Linked DNA regions of Medicago truncatula. Each later gene encodes a partner of the first gene's protein in a complex. Links are inferred from orthologs where the notes say so. Each region holds a gene or a part of one and is shown on either strand. Other genes may lie near its edges.

Region 1 (8,168 bases):
CCAAAACAAAGCCCAAAACGTTGCGAAAGATTTCATTTGAGCACACCAAATAAAACAGACAGAAAAAACACTACTGTATTGAATAACTGAATCACAGACAAAGAATAAAGAAGGGAATACTTTCAACTTTCAAGGGTTTCCCACTCAGTAAAAGGCTTTCCATTTTACAACCAATACCCTACTTTGTTTAACAAACTAACAAATCTACCATCCTTTCTTCCCCACTCTCCTGTTATTTAATCTAAATTTCTAAACCCAGCAGTCTTAACTGCCCAACCACTTCACTTCATAACTATTCTAACTAACTACTATTAGTGACCCAATAATATGTCTTCTGTTTTTTGTTTCCCTAGGAAGAATGACTCAACCTAAACAAATTAAAGAATCCTGGCCATATTATCAAGAACTAAATAAAAAATCTCAACACCGATACACAAAATACATGATGTTATGCTGTTGATAAATTTGTAAATGAATGCAGGGACATACTTTCGAACTCATCATCAGTGGCAATTCTTTGTGATACCTTGGTTCCCTGGATAATGTCAAGAAGTTCCACCTATCATCATCAGAAAGAGCTACAATTGTCAGTTATGCATGGAGTTGAGAGTCTACAAGTTATAAGTTACAATAAACAACTATATCCAATACCAATAGCATAAATATGCATAGGCAGTTGGACAAACCAAGCAAAATGAGATTGCATTTAATCATTTGCCGTTCCACAGTTGGCAAATTAAAATGGATTGACAAATGCCACTGTCCAAATATCACAAAGCCTATTTTTGGATAATACCATGTTAAACACAAATAAGACTGGTAAGTTAGAATAAAACCTAAATCAACACTCTCTTAAAAAAATCATTACTTGATCAAATTAAACAATATAATCCTTTGAGATCATGTATCAATATCTATGTTAAAGGTACGAAAAATTGTGTATTCATCAGTTATTAGTTGATCCTAATCCTTCAATAAGACTGCTTCATGGAAAACTGTTTTCCTATGAATCATGTGTTGCAAAAATACATCTCTAACATTTCGCCATTTCGGTCAAGCCAGTAAATCTAGTAATCTACAACTAAAACTTTCCTACCAAAGGGAGAGGTGGATTACAAAATCTAGCATGGCATATTTTGCAACAAGAAGTTGGTTCTATGTGTCAAGTATGCAGCGCAGAAGGCACAGATTTACCGATAGAGAGAGCAATTACCAAAGATATAAATTCAAAGACTCAGAGAGCAAATGGCCAAAATACCAAGTCAGTGTCTTGTTACAACGCACACACACAATAACCAAATATGTTAATGAAAAAAGGAAATATTTTAAAACATGAGAGGCCGTGCCCCTGCAAGTATTTTACCTGAAATAAAATGCAGAAAATAAGAAAATACATTTTTCCTTTAAATTTATGGCAAAAAGGCCTCTCATAGGTCAAATAAAAGCCATCGTAAATATATAAAATAGTAATAATTCTTTTAAAATATAACTTGCACGTTAATATTCAGTATTCACTTGGCTAATTTTGTATTAAAGGCAATGTACATTTATGCACACATCACAGCATTACATTTCAAACTCTAATAGTAATGGATGAAAAACCAAGGCCCCGTTTGAATATACGGCTTAATTTGCAACTTAGCGCTTATGATAAGCTATTTTTATAACAAAAGATAAAGTAAAGTTAAATTATTTTCATATAAGCTATAAACTATTTTCATAAGCTATTTTGTAGAGAGCTGAAAACAGGTGTTTATGTCAATAGATAACCTCAAATAAAGGTTGGATTAGCTTATTTGAGCTTATTTACTGAAATAGGTTCTGTGATACTGTATGGGAGAACTTAAGAAAACAGCTTATGACAATTTTCAAAGCTTTTTTCAACTTATTTTCATAAGTGCTCTGATATACTCATAAAAACAACCTATAGCATATACAAAAACAATTTCTTTATTTTATCTTTTGCTATAGAAATAGCTTATGTGAACTTATACGTAAGCACTTATCATGATAGGTCAATCCAAACAGGCAGCAGATAACATCTGTGAGCTGATAAATAATGATTGGGAACATGTAAAATCTTGAATAGAAAAAAGAAAGAAAAAAAACCTTCAGTGTGGCTTTTCCTCGTCCTTCATGAGAATGATCTACTTTAAGAACCTGAACAAGTTCACAATATAAAAATAAAAAATAAAAAAAAAAAAGTCTTCAATAACAACATTGAATGAATGAATAGAAACTGATAACAACTCGTCAAGAAATGAATTATTACCTCGTAAATGCGCCCTGGAATTAAGCCATAAAATTTGTGAGTAAGAAGAAAATAACTAAATACGCGTAAGAAATTGATCAAATGAACAATCAAATACGAAATTTCAATTGAATGATAATAGAAAAAGCAAAGTAACCTTGTTTTCCGATCTTTTTTCCGACTCTGATCTGCAGTGAAAAATGTAAAAAAGTATAAGAATCGGTAAAGATTTAAAAACAGTGAAAGGTGAAGGTGATGCGATGCGTACATCAGAACCAACGATTTTGTTTCCACGTCGTTGAATGATGGACCATGGAGTGGTGAAGGAGTTGGTGGCGGTGGAAGAATGTGGTAATGAGTTTAGCGGAGAGGAATAAGAATGAAATTTGAATGATGAGAGTGTAAAGAGAGATTTGAAGTTGGAATTGTAGAGGAGTTTCAGTTTCTGCTTCATTGCAGCTTGCATTTTCTCACTCGAGCTCGCGCCGGAATAACACAAAAACCCTGGGTACCAAGTACGCACGCACGCACTTCTTAACAGATCGATGGAATATGAATATTATGACAATTTTGTGATTGAGCTAACGGTCTAAACTGTGATTTAAGTTTGAAGTTTGTAATAAGATTGATGTTATTTTTGTCGCATTCAAATTCTCTAAATTTCAGGTTTGTAATAAACTAATACTCTAACTTATTTTGATCATGCTTTAGTCATTATGTCACATTATTGTCGCATGTCACAGCATCTTATCTAATTATTTTCAAGGTTATTATTGTTTTTACATGTCATCCGGCTCTTAAATATTTTTGTTGACTAAAGTGGATTCAAAACCCCCGTTGTTAGGATGAATACTCTTATTGCAAGAGTTTGACTTGGAAATTCGAGATAAGAAGTGAGCAGAGAATGTAGTGGTGGATCACCTCTCGAGGTTGGAAAATAAAGAGTTGACCACGAAAGACAAAACTATTGTAGCAGAGTTCCCAAATGAACAGTTATTCGCTATCAGTGGAAGGTCATGGTTTGCAGACATAACAAATTTCAAAGCAGGGAACTTGATCCCCAACAATCTGTCGCAACAACATAAGAAGAACTTCTTAAAGATAAATGTGTGGTTGTGTAATGAAATGAATCAAATCGTTTAGAGAATGAACAACATATTTATAGGAAGAAAAAAAAATATCGTAAACCCTACAACGTTGCCAATAAAGTCAACAATTGTATGCATTTTTTATAAGATGAACAGTCATATATGAGATCGTGTGTGAGAACGTAAGAAGGGACATATATATTGATTCATACAACACCAAGCCAATTACCAAAAACACTATCCAATTTTTTTGTTACAAATCCACTAACAAGAAACTAATTGTCAAAATCATCTAAAAAACACTCATATAGCACGGTGGTTGAAATTTTCCAACCATGCCTTCATCATCTCAAAATCAAAACACCAATTGCATGAATTTAATTGAACTCTCTCTCTCTCTCTCTCTCTCTCTATATATATATATATATATATATATATCTTGTTATCCATTTTCGGTTTCAATTTACATTTTTTCCCAATCCAAGGCAAGAAGAAGCAAATAGTTTGTTTAAAGAACATAAAATTGAAATGAGTGAGGAAATTATGGGGTGAGTTCTAAATTGGTAGGAAATCGAAACTTAGTCACCGACACGGTGGTGTTAAGCTGCGATGAGGTTAAGAATCGATGGTGGGTCCAGATTCTGCAAGCTTCTTCTTAACTGGGTTCCGAGGACTATTATGTTTGAGGCGTCGAAACTGGTGGTGGAAGGGGGGACGACGACCCTTTGATGGTAAAATGTTGGAGGTGCCAAAATGGATGGTGGAAGATGAGGAGAATAACAAAGCTTTAAAGGAGGAAGGAAGAAGGCTTCAAAGGAGGAAGAAAGGAGAATCATTAACTTGAGATATGTGTCTGTGACTTTGAGAAGAGGAGCAGAGATTTGAGTTTGATTTAAGTGGTGGTGGATGACGGGGGAATAAGGGAGAGGGAGGATAATAGGAAGATGAAAGATTTAAAGGGTATTTTTGCAATTTCACGTTTGTTTGAAAGCCTCAAGGGTGTTTTGGTATGTTCCCACCATCTTTTATTGAGTCAACGAGCCACTTAACCATATTTTAGTCGTCGTTGTTATTTTTTTATTGATACTCAATGAGATTGTGGTTATCTCTTTTACATGAATCCTCAATGACTTCTTCCTTTTATAAAGTTATTTATAATTTATTATTTAACGAATCGTTGCAATCCTAAAAAAAAACAATCGTTGTAACAAAACACTCACCATACAAAAAAAAAACACACACGCTACATCAATTTTCTTTCTTATTTGTAAGTGACACAAATCATCACTCAAACTATAAAGCTCTTGACCCGACAATCAATTGCTGCGTCATTTTAGTTAGTTTATCTTTGTTTTATTTTTGAAAAAACACTAAAAGTTAAAAGATTTTACGCACCAATTAAACAAAAGATCGTTGACTAGTTAAACTGGTTTGAGCTAAAAGATTAAAAAAGTTAAATTGTTAAAGGTTCAAGTTTTAACAAGAAAAAATATTAACATAACAATTAACATATTATCGTACGGTTAAAAATGATAATTAACTGCAATCGGTTCCATAATTCGACACTTAACTGCCGATGAACATTTCAGTAAATTATTCGTGTGACACAACTTTATACAATGTGTCAACAACAATTATGAATAAATACACGATATACAAATACTAGTATTTTTTTTTTTTGACACCGATAAAAAGTAACATTGTCCAAAAAATACCTTGAGTCTAATTCAATGCTATATATAAACACCAACAACTCTTAACTCTGTCATGAATACTGGAACTAAGTTAAGCGCGGTCACAAATTTCAACTCTATCGAGAAAACAAAAAAAAAACCCTACACTCGAGTGATCTTTGCGGGAATGCTGAATGAAGCGATTTTCGTAATCGCTTTTCAGTTTAAACGGTAAGCGAAGTAAGTATCAAATCAAACTCAGTGTTACATTTTCTGAATCAGATTCCGAATTCGCATTTTCCGTTTCGCTTTTCTAGAGCAGAAGCACGTTTACGCTTCATAAGTCTCACCCAACCCTAACGCAGATCCAAAACCCTATTCAATTCACCGGAACCGTTCATCAGCTATGTGGACCAACGTTTTCAAAATCGTACGTTATTTCTTCTTAATCTCAATACTCTTCTTCACCAATTCTCATTATTTTGCGTGTTTAGCTGGAATATGATAGTTTAGGGTTCAATTTCGTTTTAACCTAGTTAGTATATCACAAAACATGCTTTCATTTTTTCAGCTGTAGTTAATCTCATGATGATTAAGTCGGTTAATTTGTTTATGAACCGAAAACTTTGTAAATTATCTCATGTTTATTTTCACACAAGGTGTTTGTGTTGTTTTAGTTAGATTTGGTTTGTGAATGTTTAAATTTTTCTTGTAGATATATGTTTTATACAAATGAAAAACTTATTTGATTATGTTACTTGCTTTTTTCTTTCTATTTCATCATATACTGGAATTATGATTTTTTTCCCCGATCAAGCGTTGTTAGGGTTTACTAGAGATTACGTATTCGCTAAGTAACTACGTCATTCGATATTTGGTTGCCATGGGCTGGAACACTGATGATTGTGACTTTCTGTCGCCTTCATAATCACGTTTGGTATTGGTCCTGTTGGATTATGTTAATGAAACTGCGAGTTAGCTATATCACCCTAGCTGGTATGTGAATTGCCTGATCAAGAACTCGTCTTATGTATAAGATGTTTCCTTTTCTTTTTGATCGGTATTAGTGGCAATGAAAAGCCGTGTGTAATAAATAACACGGATATGGCAAGAAAGGTGTTCGGCGGGTGACCAAATTACTAGGAGGCGACACGTGTCCTATCCGACTGTTATTTTTTATTTTTTTAAAATAAATAGTAAATACATTAGTAGAACAATAAAGTATCGGCTCGTATTAATGCTAGGATGATGACAAAAATATTGTTTACTTGCTCGATCATGTCAATTAATGTTGTGGATCGATATCAACCTTCGTCTTGGCCCACCTGGTTTCATAATATTGTTCTCAAATAGTGGATCTATTGCGTAGTGGAATTTTAACAAACTACAATTGTTACGCTATATGCGATTTAATTGTGACACTATAGCGCAGCGGAATTTTAACAATCTACTATTGTTACCCGATATGCGATTTAGTAAAAAGCACTATCAAATAGTGGTATAGCATAACAGAGTTTGAACAAACCGCTATTTCATCGTTCTGCGATTGACAGCACTAGGATATATAAAATAGAAGAAAAATTGTCTGTTAGTCTAATGAAAGATCTCAAGGTCAAATCTCCTTCTCCAAGAATAATATCATTTTTAGAAATGAGTGCAAAAGGTTAAATCTCAATGCTGCTGTTTAGTTAGCTTTTACCATAAATTAATGTATATTCCATGCTCCTCCATTTTTGTTCACAATTTATTTGGTTGTCTTTATATTTATATAACTATGTGTATATTGTTTATATTTATATAACTATGTGTATATTGTTTGAAATTTGTACAGGGTAGTCTGCATCAGATATCATGGTTTCAGTTTCTCCCTCACGAACCTGATCTGAACCCTCTACCTGACAAAAGGTTGGAATATATTTTCTATTTCTCTCCTTCTTTCTGCTTCACTATTTTAATATTATTTATGGGCCATCTTCTGTTCAAACAGTGTAAAAGCGGACCAGAAGGATGCTGCAATGTTAGTGGTGCTTTCATCACATTTGCAACTGCAGAAGGAAGGATTTCTCAGCGCATGGACCAATTCTTTTGTTGGACCGTGGGATCCATCTCAGGGTTTGCATAATCCTGGTAGAGATTGCTGACTTATTGGTTTTGTCATCTGTGATTATTTACAGTTTTATTGTCTTTTTAGCAAAAGGAAAGAACGGAAATGGTCATCCATTTTCTTGCTACCTAAATTTCTGCTTTCTGTACTTAACATGCAGATGAAAAGATTAAGCTGTGGCTTTTTCTTCCGGGGCGTCATTTAACAGTTTCTGAAACTGCTCAGCCAGCTTTAACTGGATTACGAGGTATCACACTTAACAGAACTGTTGTATTGGGCATATATGTAATACCCCGTTAAATAATAAAGTTCAAACAATATACAACAAATATTTAATAATATAACAATCCCATTTATAGATACCGGGATGTTACAGTATACATTTCTTTCGTCAAAGATAGTGGCTTTGTAGCTTTTATACTTCTGTGTTTTTTGAAAACACTCTTACACGGGAAAGTTTTTTGGATGAAGCTGTCGCGTCTGGGCTCTGGCTCGCTCCTGGGGATTCAGAAGAAGTTGCAGCCGCTCTCTCTCAGGCTTTAAGGAATTGCATTGAAAGGTTTTTCTCCCCCTCAATTCTTCAAAGTGATGTTAAATTTGGTCATATCTTGCCATTTATCTTGTTGAATTTGGCAGAGCACTGCTTGGGCTTTATTACATGAGATTTGGAGATGTATTCTTGAAGGTCCATCAATTTCAAAGTGAAGAACTGCTCAGGTATATTTTTACTGTACTTAGATTTAACACTTTTGGCTAAATTAAATCTAAATATTTCACTAATATTTACAGGGTTATGTACACACACACATATAACAAGTGAAATATAATCTGAAAAGGAAACATTATCCTATAATTTTGGAATCAAATCAGTTACCGACTATCTAAGGGAACTACGAAAGCTAATAATAACGAAATCTGATTGCAATCAACAGTACAGAAAAAAAAAGTGTTAGCTAGCCTTTACTTTGTCCCCGGGCAAGCGGAGATTATTCTCACGTTGTCAGTGGGGAACATTGTGGGCAGCCAGCAATGATCTGAATAAAAAAAATATT
Region 2 (6,926 bases), about 17 Mb from region 1:
AAAAATGTATACATGAATATATAAACGTAATATATGTTATGTTATATAGATAGATATGTACGCGCACACAGAAAGAAGAAAAAAAGACAGTACAATATGGACACACTCAAATATATTTTTATTTATTATCAGTTTCTGCCTCATGGATGCACAAAAAATTAGTACACAAACCTGTTCCCCATAATCATTCCGTTCACGTATGCTTGTAGCTAACCCCATTATGTACGTGTCTACAGGGGCTCGCTCCTTAGTCCAGCAGGATTCGATAATCTGACAGCTGGCCTTTGTGACACTCTCGAACATGGTCCCCTGGTTACTACTCCATGTTTCAGGCTGCTAAGTAACATTTCAAAAGAATTTAAAAAACAAGCAAAGCAAATTTCATGAAGTTATATGTCAATTGGAATGCAAGTTTGAAAACAAAATGTTTATGGAAATATGATATTGAAAAGTAACCAAAGTGCACCTGAGCACAAACGTTGAGCACAATTGGTTTTAGGCGAATGAGCAAAATCCGCAACGGCTGACCTCCTCGGGCAATGGCAATTTGTGCTACCCCAAGAAGCAAGGAACCAAAGAGCTCTTCACATGTTCTCAACTTCCTCCATCCAGATAGCAAGCACGCCTCGGCTGCATCTATCAGTATCGCAACTGCCTCATAAACCAATCTCTTGACGGATCTCGAATCAGAACCCAATGCCGAGAGGCTCTTGATTTTCATAGAAACTGCAGCTTTATAAACTGACAATTTGGTATTAATTCTAGCTTTTAGACTTGACCCCTGCTCATGCCAATCCCTCTTCCTTATCTGCAAGAACTTCCAGACATTAAAACATGTCTCACTCCTCAAATAAACCTAAACTTTAACCACTATAGTGGCACTATACCGCTATAGCATAGCGGTATTTGGACAAACTGCTATTGTTCCCCAATAAGCTATTTAGTACAAAATGTTATCAAATAGCCTCTATAGTGGCGATATAGCACTATCGCATAGCACGGAATTTTAACAATGCGTAATTGACAACACTAGTTTAAATTTTAACCTCACTCCACTATCCACATTCAACGGTGCATAAACCATGACGAATCATAACAGAGAAAATAAATACAAACTGAAGGCATTGTAAGAAAAAATGATTACCTTTAGAAAAGCAGACATAGACTGAATCTGCTTCTTCCCAATCAACCTAGCCTGCTCCAAAAGCGCAGGATCAACATGAACCTTTTCCAACACATGAGCAATCAATTTAAATGCAATTTCTTGTCTCTCCAAAAAGTCCACAGACTCTTCCTCAAAGGACGTAACCTGTTGCCCAGAAGAGCATCCACCACCATCATTTAAACCTAAATTTTGCGCCAATTGATCGGCATTACTCCTCCATATATGACTTCCCCCATTTGCCATAACCGAACCTCTCGATGAAGCGGTGCTAGCAGTGGCATCATCACCAGCAGCCTTAGAAGCCGCTCCACTCGAATTACTAGTCAGACTACCGTTATAATTGGTCTGAGATTGATGATTTCCACTCAGAGGCGAGCTCTGAGCAGAAAAATTATCGGAATTTCCGGCATTTTGCTCCCCGGGCGCGCTAGGAACAGCCACAGCAATCTGTGCCGCATATTGTTCAATCAAACAAGTAACCAATTTATTTCCATCGGAAGACGAAATAGGAAGAAAATTCTGCGACACAGCCATCAAAAAAGCCCTAGCAATAACAGAATCCTGTTCCGCAATCGCGGATAACACAACTTCACCGGTGAATCCAGCAACCTCGTCCGCGAAATCCGACGAAGATTGTGCAGCTTTGGAAACATAACCAATGAAATCGTTGAAGAAAGATGCAACGAAATCGGCGTTGAACGGTTGAGGCCAAAAGGAGTGAGTAAAGGAATGCGGAATTGAACGGAGGAACTCGATTGCGACTGATTTAGGTCGTAGATCGGTGGAATCTACGCAGTTAGATAAGAAACGAGCGACGGCGGTAACGGCATTGAGCTGAGAACGTGAAACCCTAGGCGATCCGGCGGAAAGATACTCCGGCGGTGGACATTTATCGCAAATCCACGAGAGTTTATCGGAGAATTGCGATGGATTTTGTGCAATGAGGTCGCATAATTCGATCAACGCTTCCATCACGAATTAGGGTGAAAATTCAAACGAAAAATGAGAGAATGTTGAGATTTCAGAAGAGATCGTGGCGTTCGATTCTCTCTCTAACCACGTACCAACATTGTTACTCTTCTTCTCGTCGTTGCAGTTTCCATGCCATGGTTAATGCTTTCTTTTCTCTTTTTCTCTTTCTTTTTTACTTTTTCTTTTTATATTTTTAATTCTTTTTTTTTCTTTTTCCTTTTGGGTTTGCGATAATTTTAGATTCGGGTTTTGGATTTGTCTAATTTGAACTAGAATTGGGGGTGGGGTCAGTGGGCCACGGCGTGTGTCTTGTGCCTCAGCGATACGGCATCCGTTTTCAGTTTCTCACGCGTGGGAATACATGGTGTTCATTTCATAATTATTTTTGGTTGGTGAATTCATTTTTCATGTTTTGAAGGCATTCGTTTTTTCTTTGTCACTACAATAAATAATGATAATGACTTTTTATCTATATTCTCAACTAGATTTCATCGAAATAAATATAAATAAATAGCTAAAGATCAAAATACGTCCTAGGGCCTTTGGAATGTATTTTTTTTTTAAATTTAAATTTAAACTCTCCCTCGTCACATTTATAAGCAAAAAGATAATTTTTTAGATAGTTATTCCATAAATTGTCTTAGAATACACAATGTTTTGAAGGAATCGAAATACATATTATGAGCAACGTTAAGAACATTTTTTGAAGTGTTATCGAGTATCAACAAATATGCAACATTTTGTGTAGAGCTACTACTAGCATGAGGATGAGACTGAGAAGATAAAAAAATCGGAGGAGCCCACAACACAATTGTACCAAGGCAAATAGTGATACCCACGTTGTACCCGATGGACAAGAAACATTGGAAGAAACATAAACAACAATTCACCGATATTTCTTAATCTAAGAACACTTAAATGAGATGACACAAATATCTTGCAGCTTAACTAATGTCATGAATTTGAATCCGGCATGGGCAAGCAAAAACGTTCAAACTCTTGGAAAGAGTTGATGATCACTGAGGGATTAACCTCCCAAGTTGTGAGTAGAGGATATCTGATTTACAAAAAAAAACAAAAAAACAAAAAAAATCTTTTAAGTCATGTTGAGAGAAGTTATGCCTAGGTAGCTCGAGTGTTAACCCACTTGGCTATATAGGAATCAAACTTTTTTGATTGTATTGTAACCTAATTTAAATTTGATTTGTAATTTCTTAAAAGTTTGATATGATCAGTGACAAATCCATAAATTTTAATAAGTGGGGTCAAGTTATATCATAAAAATTTATATAAAACTTTATAAATGTGTAAGCGTGTGAAAGTTATACAAGTTATATATATAATTGCCCTAAAATGTTGATTTTTTAAAAATATTTGTCAAGTTCTAGCGGAGTATAAAAAATATAACCATAATTAATTATTTTTGACCACCAACGTAGCGTCAATCACAACATTTTTTTAACAAATATAAGAATAGTTTATATTATAATAGTAGTTGTATGGTCTTGCCAACGATATGCTTTGAGATAATTGGTTAAAGATTTCGTAAAAGAAAATTTTATCTTAAAGATAAACATTATTTGTATCGATATAATAATTATAACAACTTTTTATAAAAAAAAAAAAAACTACTTCTTTTGATTTACTAACTAGTGCTCTTGTAACACTCGTTAGGATCCTTCTTAGTTTTGTAATTTTTTATAATGTAATAAATAGACTATGTAAAAACAATAATACTATATAAAGAGGGGTCAAACTATATATATAATTTTGGGTTAAAAATACAATACACATGTGGAGGCAAGTGGGGTCGCTTGACCCCATTGTCCCCACACTAGATCCGTGAATGCATATGATAGTTTTATTTTGGGAAGTATTATCATCTATTATATTATTTAATTATTTAAAAAAACTGTATTATTTAATTATACTACTATAGATATGACATTTTGTCAAAAAAATTAACAACTTAGTGGCAAACAAATAATCAAAAAATCTAAATAAATTGTCCAATTTATATTCATAAGGATTTAGATAAGAAATTGAAAAAAATTGGGCCGGAACCCGAGGTCGCCGGGCCATAGAACCGCCCATGCCTATTTATTACAATTTTTTTTTTAAGTTCTCTATCCAACATGTTGTTCCTGGTTTTTCCTTCTAAAATCATTTATCTTAATATTTTTCTCTCCATTTCAATCTAAATGAGTGATTTTTCACGTAGATCTAATTTTTTCTTCGTGATTTTGTCACCTGAGTGTGGTGATGTGTATTTCGTCGTCTTGTGCGATCATGTTTGATTTGTCGTCTTATTGCGGTGTTTTGATTATTCAATCAAAGATTTGAACGTCAATGTTTCAAATCCGAAGAATGGTATTCCGATGTACTATTGATTTGAATGAATGAATGTGGTTTTATTCTATTAAAAAAACAAACATTTTGTCACAAACAACTATAGACGATAATATCTGTTCAAAAAATGGTAAGTAAAAAAAAGAGAAATGATCAATTTGTGACAACTTTTGTACGGCAAAAGTTATGGTGCATAAGTTATTTCCTTATGCACCGTGCATAAACACATCACAACCATCATATTTCTTTTATTTTGAACAAAAATGGTTTGGCTCACATTGGAGGTGTAGGAAGCAATTATGTTGGGATTTATGCACGGTGCATAAGGATTTCCTTATGCACCATAACCACTCCCCTTTTGTACAACTTCCTCACTTATACTCACATGACCGTCTTATCCTCTCTTCTTTTTTTTCTCTCCATTATTTTTGACCAATAAGAAGAGAGAAAAACAAAGTTGTCAAATAATATCATTGCTCTAAAAAAAAATTGAGATGAGATTATAATCGCCAATCCACATCAATTTTTGAAGAGACCCACCCATTGTCATATTGGCTGCCGTCGCACTAACTTAAACTGCCTGTTTTAATCAAAATCTGCCCGGGATCGCAGCCGGAGTCTATCACCAGTTAGAAGACAAAATCCACCGTAAGTTTTTTTTTTTCCTTCTCCCAATTTTCATTTCCTTCTCTTGCAGCGTTATTTCTTAGAGTTGCGTCGCAGCAGATCTCCACTCTCTAGCGATTGCGCGCTCTAGCGGCGTGATTGATATCCTAGATTCTGTATTGTTAATTTTGATATCGTAATTTGGTCTTGATGATAATTTTTAGTGTTCACATGATTTATCTGCCCTTTTGTGTGTTTCATAGGTGTTTAACATCAAAATAAACAGGATTAATGGACAGTGTGGTTGATTCTCTAAATAGTGCCTATCTAGATTTTATTGCTGCAGCAGCAACTGTGCTGGAAGCAAGAGAAACTTCCACTGCCCTTAAAAACATTGCAACAGACACTGCTCTCGAAAGCTTTAAGCAAAAGTGGGAATTGTTTAGAGTAGCGTGTGATCAAGCCGAGGAGTATGTGGAGTCTGTGAAGCAAAGGATTGGATCAGAGTGTTTAGTGGATGAGGCTACAGGGCATGTGGCAGGGAAACCTGGACAAGCTACCATGACGGGTCTTCCACCAATCAGCGCAGTTCGCTTGGAACAGATGAGTAAAGCGGTTCGGTGGCTTGTGATTGAATTGCAGCATGGCTCTGGAGGACCTGCTGGTTCTTCTAGTTCAGCTCTTTCACATCCCTCGGCCCCTTTTGATGCCAGGTTTTCTGAAGATGCTGCTCAGTAGCATTTACCTAACTGTATGAGATTATTAATATTATTAATAATGTCTTGGATTTTATATTTTCACCGCTCAAAATGCACCCGACTTTACTGCTTTTGCCGTTTTTCTACCTGTTTAGTAGCTGTATGTTAAAGGATGTAACTTATGTGCACAGTGCATGATGCAACACTTCTAAGTTTTCAGTTAGTGATGCTTTGGTGTTTTATTGTTTTATATCCCACAAAGATACCGTGCCACCCTTTTGTAACTGAAGATGGATTAGTGTAAGATTAGGTTTGACCCACCCTTTTATTAATACCATATGCACAATTATGTAAGGTTTACCCATTTCCTTGTGATCCTGTGTTTCTGTGCCCTGTAAGACGAGGGTAAAATTAGGTAAATTGGGTTTGTAGTTTGTAGAATTTCAAACTTTGATTTTGTAGGTTTGCAATTGAGGCATATGAAGCACCATATTCCGATTTGTGAGAATCATCTTGATTGTGTGATTTATAAGTATGCTTCTTTTTAGTGTGTGTGTGTGTGTATCTAATTGTGTGTCTGTGTGTGTATTTGCCATTCAAAATTTTTAACCCCCATGAGAATATGTCTTCAGCTTAGTCTTTCAATAATCTCATGGTCTATATAGAGATTATTATTTTAATGTCATTTTCATGATTGAACAACCACCTAAATTTGAAAGACTAAAGGGACGCCAACTCATTCCTAAACAGTTCAAACTTCAAACCAAGGTTTATTTTTATACACAATTATTTATTATTTATTACACAGACCTTATTTAGTAGACCAACAAAACCTTATTTAGTACACAAACAATACCTTATTTAGTACACAGAAACAAGACCTTACAGTACTGAGAAATTCACAACAACATGAAAAGTATTGGGAACGACACAGACACCGATTAACAAAGATACAAACTAGTTCCCTCTTGTTCAGTTGGTGGCCTCTGGTGGGAGTGGCGCCCATACAATGTGCTTTACAGGGAAGAAATGACACAGTGGAGCTTCCCCAGGCTTCATTCCAAGTAGTTGAAATATAAAATGATTAGGATTCATGTCAGACGTGTCTAGGTGGCAAATGCCCAAAGCATCCATCA
Region 3 (8,017 bases), on another chromosome or scaffold:
GATAAAATGAATGAATGAAGAAATATTGTTTAGTTTTTGGTAAATTTTTCCTTAAATGATGTTTGTGTTGATAAAAGTAACAAGCACTTCCAATCCAAAGGTAATAAACTACACATATATACAACAGTGATAAGAGCGTATGTACAAGAAGCAAAATATTTCGCTGCACATATATTTTAAAGTGTTGACACCATTGTTGAAGTCTCAAATGATCTTTATATGCATGCTCAGTGATAGATTTTTGGCAAGTGTACCAAAAGTATCGAAGTAGTAAAAATATCGTTCCCACAAGGACTGATTTTAATCTCAATAATTCAATTACGTTGTAAATTAGGATGTATAAATGTTCTTTTAGTTTGCCACTAGGCAGTTGATTGGGTTGTTTGCATAAGTAATAACAGAAAATAAAGATTGGTTTTAAGAATAAAAGAGAGATGAGATTAGGTCTTTTGAATCATCGATGTTCCCCTAATTGGTATACTGCACCTATTTGTATTAATGATTCTCTAATTCAACGATAGTTAACAAAATAGCTCTAATCAATCCCTTGAGTTAGGACCCTCTTCTCAAACTACAGCCCCTAATTCCTTAGGTGGACTAATAATCTTTGAATGTTTTAAAAACGTTAACCTAATATCACTAACAAACGATTATCCATTCCTAGATTAACCATGTTTATTAGAACAATTCAATTAGGTCTAAATCGAAAGTTATGGTCAGTAGTCATTCGTTCTCACTAAATCATGTTTATATTTGATCATAATATAAAAAGCATTAAGAACAATTAAATTGAATAAAAACTAGATTGTCATTAATAATAAATAGAGTTTCACAGCAACATGGATCAATTAGGGTTACAAGGATTCATCTCAGACCTAATCTTTAAGAGATTTAGCTACTCATAATTGAGTTTACAAATAGCATAATCAATGGAAGAATTAAAACATACATAAACTGGATTAGAGATGATGAAATCGCCCCTTATGCAGTCTTCTGGGTGTTAAAATCGTACTTTAGCTCTCCAAAATCGTCACCCTTATGTTTGGAACTGACTTCAGCTTAAATAGGCAAATCTGGATGCGCGCAAAATCGCGTTACGGTTGGCAAAATCGCACCACGATTTCTTCAAAACCCTAAATTCCTTCCAGATCCTTCCTTAAAATCGTAGCGCGCTGCTCAAAATCGTACCACGATTTCAGCAGTTCGAAAACATGCCTCTCTGGTCAAAAATCGCATCACGGTAGTGAAAATCGTGACACGATTTGTTGCTTTCAGTTCTTCTAAAATCTTTGCTTTTAACACCCTTGAATACTCCATATTGCACAGAACTCTAACAAAATTGTCAAAATAAATCCTAAAAATTACGTAATGACAGCATGTCATCACTCAGTGTTGTCAATTGATGATGTTTAAGCCTGCAAGGGAGATTTTTATTTCCCTACGAGGTTCAGAGGAGAAAAGGTTGAATTGACTTAAGCATGCAGTTGATAACCCATTGCCATTCATGAATATGTAACTTGGAACCTGTGTGACTAGGAAGTAAGCTAGAAAGTACTATGAATTAAGAAGTAATCTAGGAAGTACTAGTAACTATGAAGCACTGTTATATTATTTAGTCTTTAATGTTGTAATGTTCCATTATCTTTAAATTAAGAAGTAATCTAGGAAGTACTAGTAACTATCAAGTACTGTTATGTTTTGCCTTTTAATTAGGAAGTAATCTAAGAAGTGCTAGTAACTATGAAGTACTATTATGAAGTACTAGTAACTTATGTAATGTTTCTATACCTTAATGAAGGCTTATGTTGTGTGATAATTATGCTTGTATTTTTTGTTCACTTATGTTGTTCACCCATCCTCCATAAGCTCTATTTCAGTTTTAACTGGTTATGTATAAGCTCTATTTTTTGGTTCAATTTTAACTGGTATTTTGGCTCTGATTTGCTGGTTTTCTTGTTCAGTTCTTACCACCCTTTTGGTTCAGTTTTACTGGTTTTTTCAAAGCAGTTTTTACCACCTCTTACTTAGGACTCATTGAATGCATTAGACTGAGTGTTTATGTTTCAAAGCATGTTTCTTATGACTGTAGATTGTGTGACATTCAAAGCATGTTTCTTGTGACAGTAGATTGTGTGACATTATGATTTCTTATTGTTCTAACATGTGGGTTGCACTTATTTACATTGCAAAGGGACCGCATGCATACCCCAAAAAAATATCACAACCACCCAAAGCAAACAAGCAAGCACCCAGGCTGAAAGCTGATGCATCAGCGCCCCAAACAGAAACAGAACCATAGCAAAAAATTATGCTGTCATCCCTCTGATACAACACCAAAAGCGCAGTTGCTACAGCAGCTCCAAACCCAGAAATCAAGGACACAATCACGACCGGATAGGTGGCCTACTAAGACACTCATTGTGTTTCTACACTTAAAAACAATATCTATTGAGATGCAATTCCATGATTTCTGATTGTCATACACAACTTTATTAGAAGGAATGCTGATATGGATGTTGATTTCAATCGATATGAGGATGAAGACATAACCCTTGATCACGATGATTATCGTAGATCAGTTAATTTGGATTTATCTCAAAATTTAAATATAGCTTCTTCATCTGAGATGAATCATGTTCGAGATCAAATTATAGAGTTCAGGAAAAATAATTAGTATTGTATTAATGTTTCAAACTTGTACCACACTTTATATTATATTTTCTATTTGTAATTTTAATTGAGTACTTCATGTTTAACGTATATTCCCTGCATGTATTTTTATTTGGATACTGTCTGATTAACAAGTTATGTTAATCTTTCCCTAAAAAAATAAATTTATGTTAAGCTTATAATTTTATTGTCAATTTAATAAAAAAAAAAATAGATGAAAAAACTAAACAAATGTCAAATTTTATAACTATATACACAGACACATGTTAAAGCCCATTTTGATCTTTTACACATCTAAAAGCAATTCTGACACAAAACATCCAAACAACATTTTTCATACAAAGCACTTCTGTTTTGAAGGTAACCAAACATAAATTACTTTACGTTCAACTCACTTTTAACCAAAATCAATTCTATCAAAATCAATTTTTTCCACCGCACAACCAAACACACGCTGAATGGAGTACGATCAAAGGGAAGAAAAAAATAATTTAATTTTACGCTACAATTCAAAAAAATTAATATTATGGTTTTTCTTAATATTATGGTTGTAGGATCCACTATCAACCTTTTGTGTGCATCTCTCTCCATTTGTTAAAATAAATGGAGAAGATCCTTCTCCCATTTGGCGAGCATTGTGGCATGAAATTGAGATAATTTGGGGTGATAGAGTCATAAACCTTGTGGTGTAGAGGGACTTTAAAGTTATAATTGACATAATTATACATTAGATTACGGATGATCACAAAGTCATAATTAATTGAATTACACATGAGATTACTATTACACATGAGATTACTGACGATCACACATTGCCAACCTTAGTCTTCGAGTGTTAGTGAAAATGGATTGACACGTCAAATTCAACCATATTTGCAAGAGAAAGTATTATGTACATCGTCGACCTGCAAACTTTGATCTCAATTTAAAGAATACTCCCTCCGTCCCATAATAACTAAGCCATTTGCATAAAAATATTGCCCCAAAAAAAATTGACCCATTTCACTTTTCGGTACAACAATAATTACTTTTTTCCAATTATAATTCAAATTAATACTACTTTAATCACTCTCAATTCAATATATTCTACTTTGCGTTTATGATAAGAAGGAATGCACCGATACTTAACAAGACACTCAAAACTATTTCTCTATCTTTCACTTATACACTTTTTCTTAATATGTGTGAAATGAACAAAATACTCAGTTAAAAGGGGACGGAGAGAGTATGAATTTACTCATCTTGAGATGAGTTGAAGTCTTGAAGATCTTCTTAGTTGGTGATACATTTTTACTAGGATTAACCATTAGGGCATCTTTGGCCTTCTTTTATATCAAAAAAATAAAATAAGGGTTAAATATGTTTTTTCAACTATAAATATATCAAATTTTCTTTTTGGCTCCTCTAAAAAATTTCTTCAACTTTTAGTACACCAAAAGTTTTTCATCACTAGTTCACCACTTTTAATCTCTCTTTTTAAGTTAACTCATATGTAGACTTCATATTTTTAATGAAATTTTACGTTACTGAAGTATAATATTATAATAATCTCTCCAAACTAAATAGATTTTTAATAAAACATGAATGAAATATAAATTTTAATATTTTGAACACTTAAAAATTCATATTTAATTAATATTTTATTAAAAAATTCTAATTTTTTTGAGGTGATTGTTATTATAATATTATAGTAGACATTTTTGCATAATTTCATTCAAAAATATAAAAACTACATATTAGTTGATTTAAAAGTATGGATCAAAACAAGTGATGAAAAATTTTCAAGGTGCTAAAAGTGAAAGGGAATTTTTAAATAAATTAAAACGAAAAACTAATATATTGATAGTTGAAAAAAAAAGAAACATATTTTACCTAAAAAAATAATAATTTGTCGTCTAAATTCTCAAGTTCTGGGTTTCTTCTTTCTTCCCTCGTTGCAATAGCGAAGACCCTGAAATTGAAAAGCAGCGGGTTTCAGTGACATGTTTGATTTCAATTATCTCGTTGCATACTAAACAATTACACTAAATCCTTAACTTCCATTGTTACGAAACGCACACATCTCGTCTCACTCACAGCTCTCCAAGGTATGTGTGCCTTTCTCTCTGCTTCGATTTCTTCTATGATTCCCACAGTTGATTCGTTTTCTTGTTCACCATTATGTGTGTTTTATTGGTTTTTGTTTTCTGGGTTTCTAGTTTGTTACCACAAATTCTTATCATTGCTCATCAATTCAAGTACTTTTATTCTTTATTTGTTTGCCCACCAAATGTTTGACACAAATACTCACACAACCTATAGTCTTCTGAAGTGCTTGAATTATCAGTTTGTGTTCATGATTCCATCACATTGCATCTAATTTATTCAACTAGAGTTATAATCTATGTTTACATGGCAAGATGATGGGCATTTATTGGATGACGGTGTAAACTATTTTACACAGTTGATGCACTTCCATTAAACTTGTCATTTTTTGCCCTTCTTGTTTGTTCTAATTTTTCACAAATTGACTTATTTGGGGGAGCCAAATCTGCTTTTATATTGCGGCGGGACATTTTGCAGTATTTTGCGGCACAGTCCATCGTTGTAACTTTGCGGTGGTTAAGTAAAACAGTCGTGTTAACCGCTGCAAACAATAAGCAGCGGCAGTTGTGCAAGAACCGCTGCAATCCTTTTGTTGTAATCAAACGATTTTATTATAGTAGTGTCAGTAAGCAACTGTGGAAAAACTACAATTTTAAAAGGGGGGGTAAAAGAAAAAATAGAACGTATTAGAACAAACAAATAATAAACCATCAATTTTGTCCCTGAACTATCACCTTATCTTCAAAGAGACACTACCCTCCACCCCTGTTTGGGGTAGGGATCGAAGTCTCGACCTCCTTTTCATTCCACTCCTTAACATACACACCCCTACCACCAAGTCAACCTTATAAACCCAACTTAATGATTCTTCACTGCTTAATTCCCCCACCTCAACCACCAAACCAACTTTATATCTTCCAATTTCACTCCTTTGTGATATTTTCCATTTGTATAAACTGCTTGAAATATGTGAATACTTATCTTATTCTAATTTTAGGAGTACCTGCTGTTTTGGTTACTCCTTAAGTATTTGACAAAAGTGCTGAATTTCATTTTGAATTGCTTAACCATTTTATTTGCACCCGAGGCTAATTTTTGTTAATGCTTGGTATGGAGACTGATCTATGTTTTGGAAATTTATAAATACTTTGATGTCAGTGGTACTTGGTGCTTGGTGTGGCAATCCTTTGTGGATGGTTGGACTGGTGTGTTTACTCTGATTCCAGTTTTCTGTGATGTGAAAATGCTGTTTGCGGAAACCATTGTCTTTCTTTGGATTTTATTTTAATCAATTGCTAGCGTTGTTCTCTTCTTGCATGACTGGTCGCCATTGTCAAGTGTTAATAGGCATTAAAAATTGATTCACTGGATTTAAACTTGTACGTGCATTTGCATGCTGATTGATTATAACATATTCACTGGTTAATTGCTAACAGGTTGTCAAATATTTTATTACCTGTAAGAAAATATTCAAATTATATATTCAACGGATAATTTGGTGGCTAATTTACCCTAAATTTTTATTTTATTTTAAATGCTTGTAAGTGTAATTATCTATTGATTGCATAAACATGTTAAAAAGTAAATAAAATTCTTGTTTTCAAACTCTGTAAAGATTTACTTTTCTAATTATTTCTATTGTTTGATTATAAGTTTTTGAACTATTTTATTATTCACTTAGGCTTGGACTTAAAGCTACTGTCTGGTCTCACCCACATTTTCTTGCGGGCACGGAAGGTTTTGTGGAATTTTTTCGGGCAAACAAACTTTTCCAAAAGATGGAAGAGGGCATGGAGTTGCAACTATCCCTTGACAAGCTGCCGATCAAGCGCTTGGATTCCATTGAAGAAAATGGAAATGAACGATTCCCTTTGTAAGCTTCTTCCTCTCCTCCTTTTTATTTCTCAACTAGTATTGAGAACCTGTGCAACGCTCGGGGAAAAATCCTAGAGTTATGCTATCTCTCATAAGAATGTTGAACCCTAATTTCTATTTGTGCTTGGCTTTTTGTAACTCCCTCCGTATTGTTGCAGAGATGTGGATTACGATGAAAAGCGAGTTTCTCTAATCAGGAGAATTGACTTCGCTTGGGCCATTGAGAAGGACGAGGAAAAGAAGAAGCAGAAGAAGAGCTCAAAGGAGACAACACCATGGCAATGGCAGGGCATGGTGGAGAATTTGCAGTTGGCTCATCAGGAGCTCTCTGTTATCATAGATTTCATCAACACTGTGAGTCGCACATGTTTCTTTCTACAATGAATCACCGCTTTTTATGATTTCATCTACATTCAGAAATCTTCATGTCAAGTTCAAATTTCTCTCTGCATATCTGTTTGCAACAATGAAGATAATTGCTTGAAGTTATTTGGTTTCTGAAAAAGGTCTGTAAAAAAGCTCCATTTTTATTTTATCTTTTATAAAAGCTCCATTTGGAACTTGCTCTAAAAGAAAAGAAACAGTGTGTGGCTTAAGAAAATTATGTTTGTGTCATTCATCCAGGGATGAAATTAAGTGTTGAGAAAATGTCTATGAATGTCAACTTACAATGCTTTGAGAAGTAGCAGTTCCGGGTTCATCAAGAAATGTATCACTTCATATAGTCTTGATGAATCTATTTGCAAATGACCAAGTTTTTGGCATTATGAGTAGAAACCATGCTTTAGATATTTTTCAAGATTTTTTTTCCTATGGCCCAGTTCATTATATTGCATGATATGTGCAGACCGACAATAAAGGTATGTTGTTTTGTTGAAATTATTCTGCTTAGGTGGAAACCAACGATGCAGTAACTGTGGCTAGCATGACAAGGCCAAAATCATTACCAAATGAAGCTTTGTCCGACCTTGCTGTATCTGCAGCCACCAAGCTTCAATGCTACCGTGTAAGTACTCTTCTATCTTCTTTTGTAGTTAATTTTTTTAAAAAAAATTACTGTAGTTTGTTTCCAGTTTATTTATGTCCGTAACATTAAGTAAGTTCCCTTTTCGCTGAATTTATAGCTTGTTTGCTCAAACTAAAAAAATAAAACTGAAAACATGGAGCATATTGAGTCTCTAATAACTTGTCCTTGAGTGACAAGCACAATTTGTATGACTTTTATGGGGGACCTGTAATATGCAATAACGTTTTTGTACAAACATTCTTCTGTGCAGCAAGTTGGGAAATATTTCAAGCAATCTGCCAAGGCTTTTGAACAGCAGGTTGCTCGGGAAGCTAGGTTTTATGGTGCCCTTATCAGGTGATTTTCCATTCTTGTCTTTGA
Region 4 (7,692 bases), about 7.8 Mb from region 1:
TTGATTTTTGCAAAAGGAAGGGGAGGAGAGCAAACTTTTCTCCATTCATCATTCTAGCTACTTGTACCAACCTTGAATATTGATCAATCATAAACAGATTTAAAATATGTGAGGGAACAAGTTGAAGTACCATTTTGTGATGATCCTTACACACAATTGTGGCTACACCACTCCCACTTCAACCTCAAGCATCTACCAATACTGGATTTGGAGAAAGAACAACTAAAGGAATGTGGTCAAATCCAAGTTTTTTGATGCTGTGACGTGATCTTGATAATTGTTTTCTAAGATGAACAATGGATAAGGCACATAACTGACAACCTACTGCTAGTCCTATGTAAAGTATGTTTTGGGGAGATGATTTTTGAAGCATGATTCATAATGTTCATGAAATAATACTTGAACAATAATTCTCAACCAACCTTAATATTTTCCTAAAAAAACTTGGCAATAAGGTGTATTAAGGTTATAGCTTACAAGTCACAATAGACAGGTTATTTTTTCATCTTATTCTAAAAAAGAAGTAGCCTTAATAACTTCAAGTCAAAACAGGAAAGAGCAATTGGAAATGCTAAACAATGAATAAGTAGTAGGTTGAAATAAAAAATAGCTCGGACTAAGATAATCATCGAACGGTTAGGCTAAGTTAAATGCGGCAAAAGCTAACACAAACATCCTTAGAAACTGCTATCAAACAAAATATTTATAAAATTGTTTATAATAACAAGCATTAAGCTTAGCCGCAAAACAACAAAGGCCATGAAATTGTATATAATAAGGAAGAATGTAATAATAAAGGCATTCAGCTATACACAAACCAAAGAATTAAAGCAACATAAAATAGAAACATTAACTACTCCATGGAATCAAAACTGGGAGCATACCAGCCCAATTGATCATTAATTTGCTTGAGTCTTGCTTCTTGACCCTTTGAATCTCCAAATGCAGTAGTGAAAGGGTATATATAAGTCACTTTTGCTGCCATACACCTAAAGGCAACCACATCACCTTTCACCAGAAACTCAAGTACGTCTCTATCAAATTTTCCATCAACTTCAGCTTGCAGATACTGTCCTGTATATTCATTTTAGCATAAATCAAGTTTTGCCTAGTAGCTTGTAAAACCAATGTTTTAATTAACTGAACCATACATCAAATCAGAGAGACCTATAGGTCATGGTTCAACAACTTTAAACAGCTCAGATATAGACGAAACTGCAATCGGATCGTTCAAATAACCTAACTGTAGACAGTGCTGATTCACGATTCAAGCAATTGAACTGTCTAGTTTGGTTCAGTTTTTAAAACATTGTGTAAAACAATTAACCCTTCCTTATTGTCTTTGGCCTGACCTAGATAAAATCATTTATAACGTAATACATAAAATATATTACAACTTTCCTTGTTCATCACTAGAGTCTAAGAATAAACCATCAATTTATTTCTTAAATTATCACACTCTCTTCAATTTAGTCCTGAAAACGTATAAAAATTATAAGTATTGAAGTTGAATTCGAATCCCACATTGACAGTGTTCCTAAGTTGTGCAATGTGCTGTGTGCATATGTGTCTGTGCACCTTCATCTTACCAGCTAATTTTTGAGAGTGAGATTCAAGCTCATTTGACAAGGCTTCAAATCTGAATTTTGTAGGGCATGTGGAAAACGAACCTAGGCATTGTATATAAGTAGTGCTTGGACTCCCTCATTTGATGAGCTAGCTTTTGGAGTCCATTTAACAATAGTCCCTAAAATATATAAAATTCGTCATCTTAGTCCCTCAATTGATGGTTCTTTTTCTTATACTTCAATATTATTTAATTATCATGTTCTACATTTTCATTGCTAATTGGCTACAATTTCTAGCAAATAACAACAACACCAATGGTAAATTGATCAAAAACAGAACTGTGTTTGAATTACCATCTGGGGTATCTTCCACGGGCTGAAATTTCACATTTTTCTGAGTCTCTAGAATTGCTTCACGTAGTCTCTGAAAAAGAAAATTATGAACAATCACAACATGAGATAATAAAAATACACAATGCTTTTTGAACTCTGAGTAATAGCTTAGAAACCTGAATAGCATTATCCACTGAATTTTCAGGAACCGTCCAAGGAAAATCAAAAGATGATGACTTCGGGTTTGTTGATATGCAACCAGGATTTATTGATGGGCAAGGTCTAATTTTTCTGCAAGAGAAAGGTTACAAATAATATTATATAGAATCCATGGTATTAATTATGAAGCATATATTATATAGAATCCGTTAAGCATACCCATTTTCTAATCCAAGTTGCAAGTTTTTTGATTGAGAAAAAGGGGTGGTACTAAGAGTGGTTGGAGGGGGTTGAGAATTGAGGGAAGGGATTGCATGAGAAGGTAGTGGAGATGTTAATGTTACAGCAATGGCTAGAGAGAAGAGATTTGGTAGGAACTTTTGTTTATTATCAGAATTGAGTTTGGGAATGGTGTTAGTGTGAGTTTGAGGAAGAGGATGGAGAAGACGAAGTATCAAACTCATGATTTTTATGGAGTCTTCTATCCACTCACTGCATCATGTTTTTGCTCCATTCTTTTTCAGCCATAGGTGACGATTGTTCTGTTGAAATGTTGATCCTTTCTGAAAGGCTGTTATTGTTCACCACATAACAAAAGAAAAATATAATGTATAAGGTCTAGGATTTGTCAAAACAATGTAGTTAGAAAGAGAGATCTTAATAAAGATGGTTAATTAAGTTCTTCCACGAAAATTAAAGACTATGACTCCAATAGTATAATTACAAAAGTGAAAGATCTCAATTGTCATTTTTTAGTTTGATTAAAATAAAATGTAGTTGATGGTATCCATAAATTTCAAAACAAACACTTATAAGAGCTTTCCTATATACTACGAGAGATATATCGTGAAGACATCACGATAAGATACATATCAATCATAATATATTGTTTTGCGCAAAACACGATGTTTGGGTGCAATACAAGTGAGTAAATACATGCAGTACTCTTTTCGTGAAAATTTTGCTTGAATTATGTCGCGATAAATAACATTTAGAACTATATATTTGTCCTTCAATCCAAAGAGAAAGGTAAGCAGAGTATAATTGTGTATCATTCCTACTATTTGAGGAGGTATACGTAATGGAAGGGATAAATCTTTGAGGAGTCGGATCATTCAGTATCGAGGTTGTAACGTTGGTAGCAATCCCTTCCATCCTTGCTTCTTGTCTTTGTCTTCGTATTAAAAGTCGCTACTTGCTGGTTGTTGCAGAGACGATGATCCTCTAACTAGGTCAAACATCTAATGGATTGGACTTAGGCTCGATGCCTAACAAATCATGGCAATCAAATTCCATCCCCGATTGTCATGCTTTGAATCATATTCCACCTTGTTTCATCCTATGTTGCCTCGCTTTGAATCATATTCCACCTTGTTTCATCCCTCGTTGCCTCGCTTTGAATCATACTCCACCTCGTATTGTTGAAACTATTATAAATGTGGACAATCATATATTTCTTATTATCTCGTCTTATTACATTAAACCATTTTTCCCTTACAAGTCTTATATTTGGGGGATTGTGGATTGTCATAAAAATATTCCCATTTTGACCCATGCTTGCTTCATGCTCTTTGTACTCGACCCATACCCATATGATAATCCTCATATTTGACCATACTACTACTATCTTGAGAGCTCTCTTACTCAGTCAAACCACTTTGATCCTTTGACATGATATTAATTGCGTAGTGGAGTGATTTCTAGAAGATCCCTAAATAATAAGAGAGGAAGTTAGGGTGACAACTCCTATAAATAAAGTCCAACTACTCATAATTGAAATCTACATCCTTCACTATCTCTACAAACTTGGGGTTTTTATCACGATACACTATTGACAAGATCTTACCTCATAAAGAAAATGAAATGTCACAACTCTCTTTTCTTATACAACATTTTTGTCCGAAAAAGTTTAGAAAAATAGTTCAAGTTGATCTCACCGCAAATCATTTGGGTTAATTGAGATTCAACATATACATTATAACTTATATTTTTATAATTTTTCAAATCTATTATTCATTTTAATAATAATCATAGTTGTAAATATATACTTATATTTAATCGTAATAGACAAAACAGTCGATATGTCCGAGTGGTTAAGGAGACAGACTTGAAATCTGTTGGGCTTCGCCCGCGCAGGTTCGAACCCTGCTGTCGACGTTTTCTTTTTTCATCTCATTTTTAATTTTTTCCGCCATGCTTTTGTTTTTTCTACTCATTGATAACGATCAAAGTTAGGGTTTGCAATTCCTGAGACTCATAAGATAGATAAACTTCGCATTGGAATGGAAGAACAATCCATAAACGGCACAATGTCAACCAAAACGACACAAGATTTAGCAATTGAAGGTCACAAATACTTAGAAGAAACCATACAACATGCTTTCAAGATACTATCTTCCATGAACGACGAGCTTTGCAATCCCGTTTGGTGGTCCACTTCTCCTTCCTCTGCTACCTCTCCCAATGCTCCTTCTTCAAACGGTGACGCCAATTCCGAGAATTCCGGCCAACACGCTGACGGCGCTGCTCCCAGTGGTGGTGCTGGTGGAGCTCTTGATGAAGCTCGTTTGAGGTATAAAGATGCTGTTGCTGGACTTCGGAGTGTTCTTGCCGCTATTCCCAATTCTCAGAAGGTGCAATTTCGAATCCCTAGTTTTCTAATTCGGGTTTTATTGTGTGTTCTTTTTGTTACTAGATCTAGATTTTTTGAATCATTGAACTTTAGGTTAGTGGAAAATCAATGAATTGGCAAGTCCAAAACTTAATTTTTAAACTCTTTTCTGCAGCAATAAGAGTTGCCAAGTTCATTGTAAAGATTGTATTCCTAATCTTATTTTTTCTTAAGTAACTATTCATCGATGCGACACACAGATTACCTTTTGCTATATATAGGAGAGAGAATCAAGTGAGAACTCATGCTTCTCTTGCACAAGCTCTAAATAACAGCCGCTCAATCGAAATTAATGGTCTGATCTCATTAAAATGTCACGCGTCTCCATATTCTCATCCCCTACCTTCATCCTCGCTTGACATATGCGCTCATCTTTCTTTGATGCAGCTACAATGAATTGCTTAATCAAATTTCAAAATGTAATTTGATTCTAATCTTTTCTAAAAATATTGTTTCCAGGCCAAGTAAAAAAATTAGGAAATCACAAAAATAGTTGAGACTAAACAAAAACAAAGATGCCACAGTCTTGTATCAATGAAAAGCTCGTGGTTATAATCATTTAATTCAATTAAATAAAAGGTGGAAAAAAATTGTAGGGTAGTCTTAGCGTTGATAGGTAATGGATAGAATTATGCAATGCCACTCATGAGAGACCATCGATTAGAGCATACAATACCGTGTTCATATGACAGAGTGGATAGTATTGTTCAGGTTAATGAACAAAGGGGAAAGATTGAAGATCACTACATTTTTTTTAATCCTAAACATTGATTTTGAATCTTTGATTAAACAGCTACTATTGATGGTTCATATGTATCACAATAAATATAGGTTATCACTTAATATGCTCCCTTTTTTTGGCACACACTTAATATACTTGTTCTTATTTTGTTTTCTATTTTATAATATTTAGATAGGAAACCATAAAAACAATTCAGTACGTCTTTCAAATTTTTTTCCGAATATTTCAAAATAGGAAAGGGAATGAAAGCAATGTGACATTTTTTGTAATTATTGATAAAAATTGGAAATTCGTAAATCACACAGGTCCTTTAGTGGTCACTGTGACTAGGCCATGCTTTGGCATATTCTTTGCGATTGATGTTGTGAGTCAGTTTCATAAGTTCATAACTCTCCTAGTGGTGATATCTGGGATGCAATTATCTGAATTTTGTGATACTTTAAGGTCTCTCCCAGGAAGGATTTAGTATTAGTATATCACAGGCAATGTTCATAAAATTACAGTCGTGTATAACGTTGTTGACTGGGATGGATCTCCCAATCAAGTAGAACATAGTTGCCAACTCATGTGGTGAACTGGAGTATTGAGTCATAACTCGCTCTACGTTAGAACTTTTATAAATAGAACAACTCCAATATGAAATGTGATTTATGTTAATTGTTGAAATTTGGGGCCTAACTCATCCTTAAAAAACCGGCTTGTATTAGTATTAGTATATATCACAGGCAATGTTCATAAAATTACAGTCGTGTATAACGTTGTTGACTGGGATGGATCTCCCAATCAAGTAGAACATAGTTGCCAACTCATGTGCTCAACTGGAGTATTGAGTCATAACTCGCTCTACGTTTGAACTTTTATAAATAGAACAACTCCAATATGAAATGTGATTTATGTTAATTGTTGAAATTTGGGGCCTAACTCATCCTTAAAAAACCGGCTTGTAAGGTGAAGAGTGCCTCCTCTTTATAAACTCTTCTCAAGAGGGCTATCTATCCAATGTGGGACTAAATCCACCCCCTCAAAGCCAACACAATGAAGGTGTTGGAGGCTGCAATGAAGGCTAACCAAAGGTCGCAATTTAGGCGACTAGGGGCGGACCGCAATTAAGGCGGAATTTCCAACATTAATCTGTGATGATCTACCAACACCTCATATTGCTTCAAATCTGGCTTTCCGTACGATATTAGGATGAGCTAATAGAAAAGGACAGCAGGAGGTATTAGGATGAGTTTCTTCACCTTGAGTGAAAATCTGAAAATACTTCAGATTCAGAGTTCATCACCTTGAGAGGAAATCTGAAAATACTTCAGTTTCAGAGTTCGGAGATATAAATTGAAATCTTAGAAATGAAGTACGACTACATGATGGTATTTTTTTCTACATATGCACAAGGGCTTTAAATTTATACCACAGATAAGTTTAACACATGATATTCCGGTAATAGCGTAACATGATGAAAAATTTGAAAACTCCTATTTATAGAACCTTATAATGTTGCAGCACCGATTGGAGCATTGAGTGGGCTAACGAATGAATTTTGCTTTTTGACTTTGACTATGTTTTATTACTTAAACTGCTTAAATTCAATAAGTAACTAGCTATAGTTTTGTTCTCTGAATTTTTAGCTAATGAATTGTGAGTTTCAATTCCTTTAGATATCTTTCTGGCTTGGTAAGAGACAATAAAAATCTCTTTACACCAAGGTTTGGTTTGATGTCTTTTTAAAATGGGGTTGAAAATCTTAACAGCGACTAAATGAAAAACTTCATGAGACTGTGGTAAATTACTAAATAAATTCCGAACTCACTATTTTTATATTATTGCACCTCTATTATACTGCTAGGAAAAAGATGCTGCATTAAAAGAAAATTCTATTCAGAAATCAGTGTCTTCCTTACATAGACTTAAGACTCCATATTCTGTTAAATGATCGGGGTTATTGACTCACAAACGTGCATCTTATTGCGAGCTGTATGACCATCATATTAGCTAGCAAAGCTTTTGTTTTCCTGTTAAACTAACTTGGTTAGTATTATAGGCAAACACATTTGACGGTGGTTCAGCTGACAGCCCTATGGACGAAGCTGAAATTGAGAAATTGGAAGAGCAAGCCTCTTCTTTGAGAAAGGTTTGTTGTATTAACCTCTGTCTCTATCCTTGATCACACTCTTTCCAAACCCCAAACATCGAATTTATTATTTTAGTCTCGGGTTTTA

The links.
Region 2: mediator of RNA polymerase II transcription subunit 13 (region 1) and mediator of RNA polymerase II transcription subunit 32 share a complex: the UniProt entries of both Arabidopsis thaliana proteins name them as parts of the mediator complex. The link is inferred for Medicago truncatula from reciprocal best matches to the Arabidopsis thaliana genes GCT and MED32.
Region 3: mediator of RNA polymerase II transcription subunit 13 (region 1) and mediator of RNA polymerase II transcription subunit 17 share a complex: the UniProt entries of both Arabidopsis thaliana proteins name them as parts of the mediator complex. The link is inferred for Medicago truncatula from reciprocal best matches to the Arabidopsis thaliana genes GCT and AT5G20170.
Region 4: mediator of RNA polymerase II transcription subunit 13 (region 1) and mediator of RNA polymerase II transcription subunit 30 share a complex: the UniProt entries of both Arabidopsis thaliana proteins name them as parts of the mediator complex. The link is inferred for Medicago truncatula from reciprocal best matches to the Arabidopsis thaliana genes GCT and AT5G63480.

What each region holds. Positions count from the first base shown.
Region 1 is NC_053044.1:41,140,098-41,148,265, reverse strand, and holds the start of mediator of RNA polymerase II transcription subunit 13, read left to right. Parts: upstream 1-5,098; 5' UTR 5,099-5,252; exon of another isoform or gene 5,253-5,377; 5' UTR 5,378-5,418; coding exon 5,419-5,442; intron 5,443-6,843; coding exon 6,844-6,917; intron 6,918-6,999; coding exon 7,000-7,139; intron 7,140-7,276; coding exon 7,277-7,363; intron 7,364-7,587; coding exon 7,588-7,675; intron 7,676-7,752; coding exon 7,753-7,833; intron 7,834-8,168. Other genes in the region: elongation factor P, read right to left, coding at 490-559, 2,110-2,160, 2,273-2,286, 2,409-2,439, 2,520-2,717. UniProt on the Arabidopsis thaliana protein: Component of the Mediator complex, a coactivator involved in the regulated transcription of nearly all RNA polymerase II-dependent genes.
Region 2 is NC_053044.1:57,776,976-57,783,901, forward strand, and holds mediator of RNA polymerase II transcription subunit 32, read left to right. Parts: upstream 1-4,973; 5' UTR 4,974-5,134; intron 5,135-5,355; 5' UTR 5,356-5,383; coding exon 5,384-5,830; 3' UTR 5,831-6,221; downstream 6,222-6,926. Other genes in the region: phosphatidylinositol 4-kinase alpha 1, read right to left, coding at 172-336, 467-808, 1,145-2,137; BURP domain-containing protein 9, read right to left, coding at 6,763-6,926. UniProt on the Arabidopsis thaliana protein: Component of the Mediator complex, a coactivator involved in the regulated transcription of nearly all RNA polymerase II-dependent genes.
Region 3 is NC_053045.1:55,066,158-55,074,174, forward strand, and holds the start of mediator of RNA polymerase II transcription subunit 17, read left to right. Parts: upstream 1-4,547; 5' UTR 4,548-4,757; intron 4,758-6,432; 5' UTR 6,433-6,533; coding exon 6,534-6,628; intron 6,629-6,788; coding exon 6,789-6,984; intron 6,985-7,522; coding exon 7,523-7,636; intron 7,637-7,907; coding exon 7,908-7,993; intron 7,994-8,017. UniProt on the Arabidopsis thaliana protein: Component of the Mediator complex, a coactivator involved in the regulated transcription of nearly all RNA polymerase II-dependent genes.
Region 4 is NC_053044.1:48,895,011-48,902,702, reverse strand, and holds the start of mediator of RNA polymerase II transcription subunit 30, read left to right. Parts: upstream 1-4,270; 5' UTR 4,271-4,342; coding exon 4,343-4,693; intron 4,694-7,514; coding exon 7,515-7,604; intron 7,605-7,692. Other genes in the region: thylakoid lumenal 17.9 kDa protein, chloroplastic, read right to left, coding at 854-1,074, 1,923-1,992, 2,078-2,192, 2,280-2,524. UniProt on the Arabidopsis thaliana protein: Component of the Mediator complex, a coactivator involved in the regulated transcription of nearly all RNA polymerase II-dependent genes.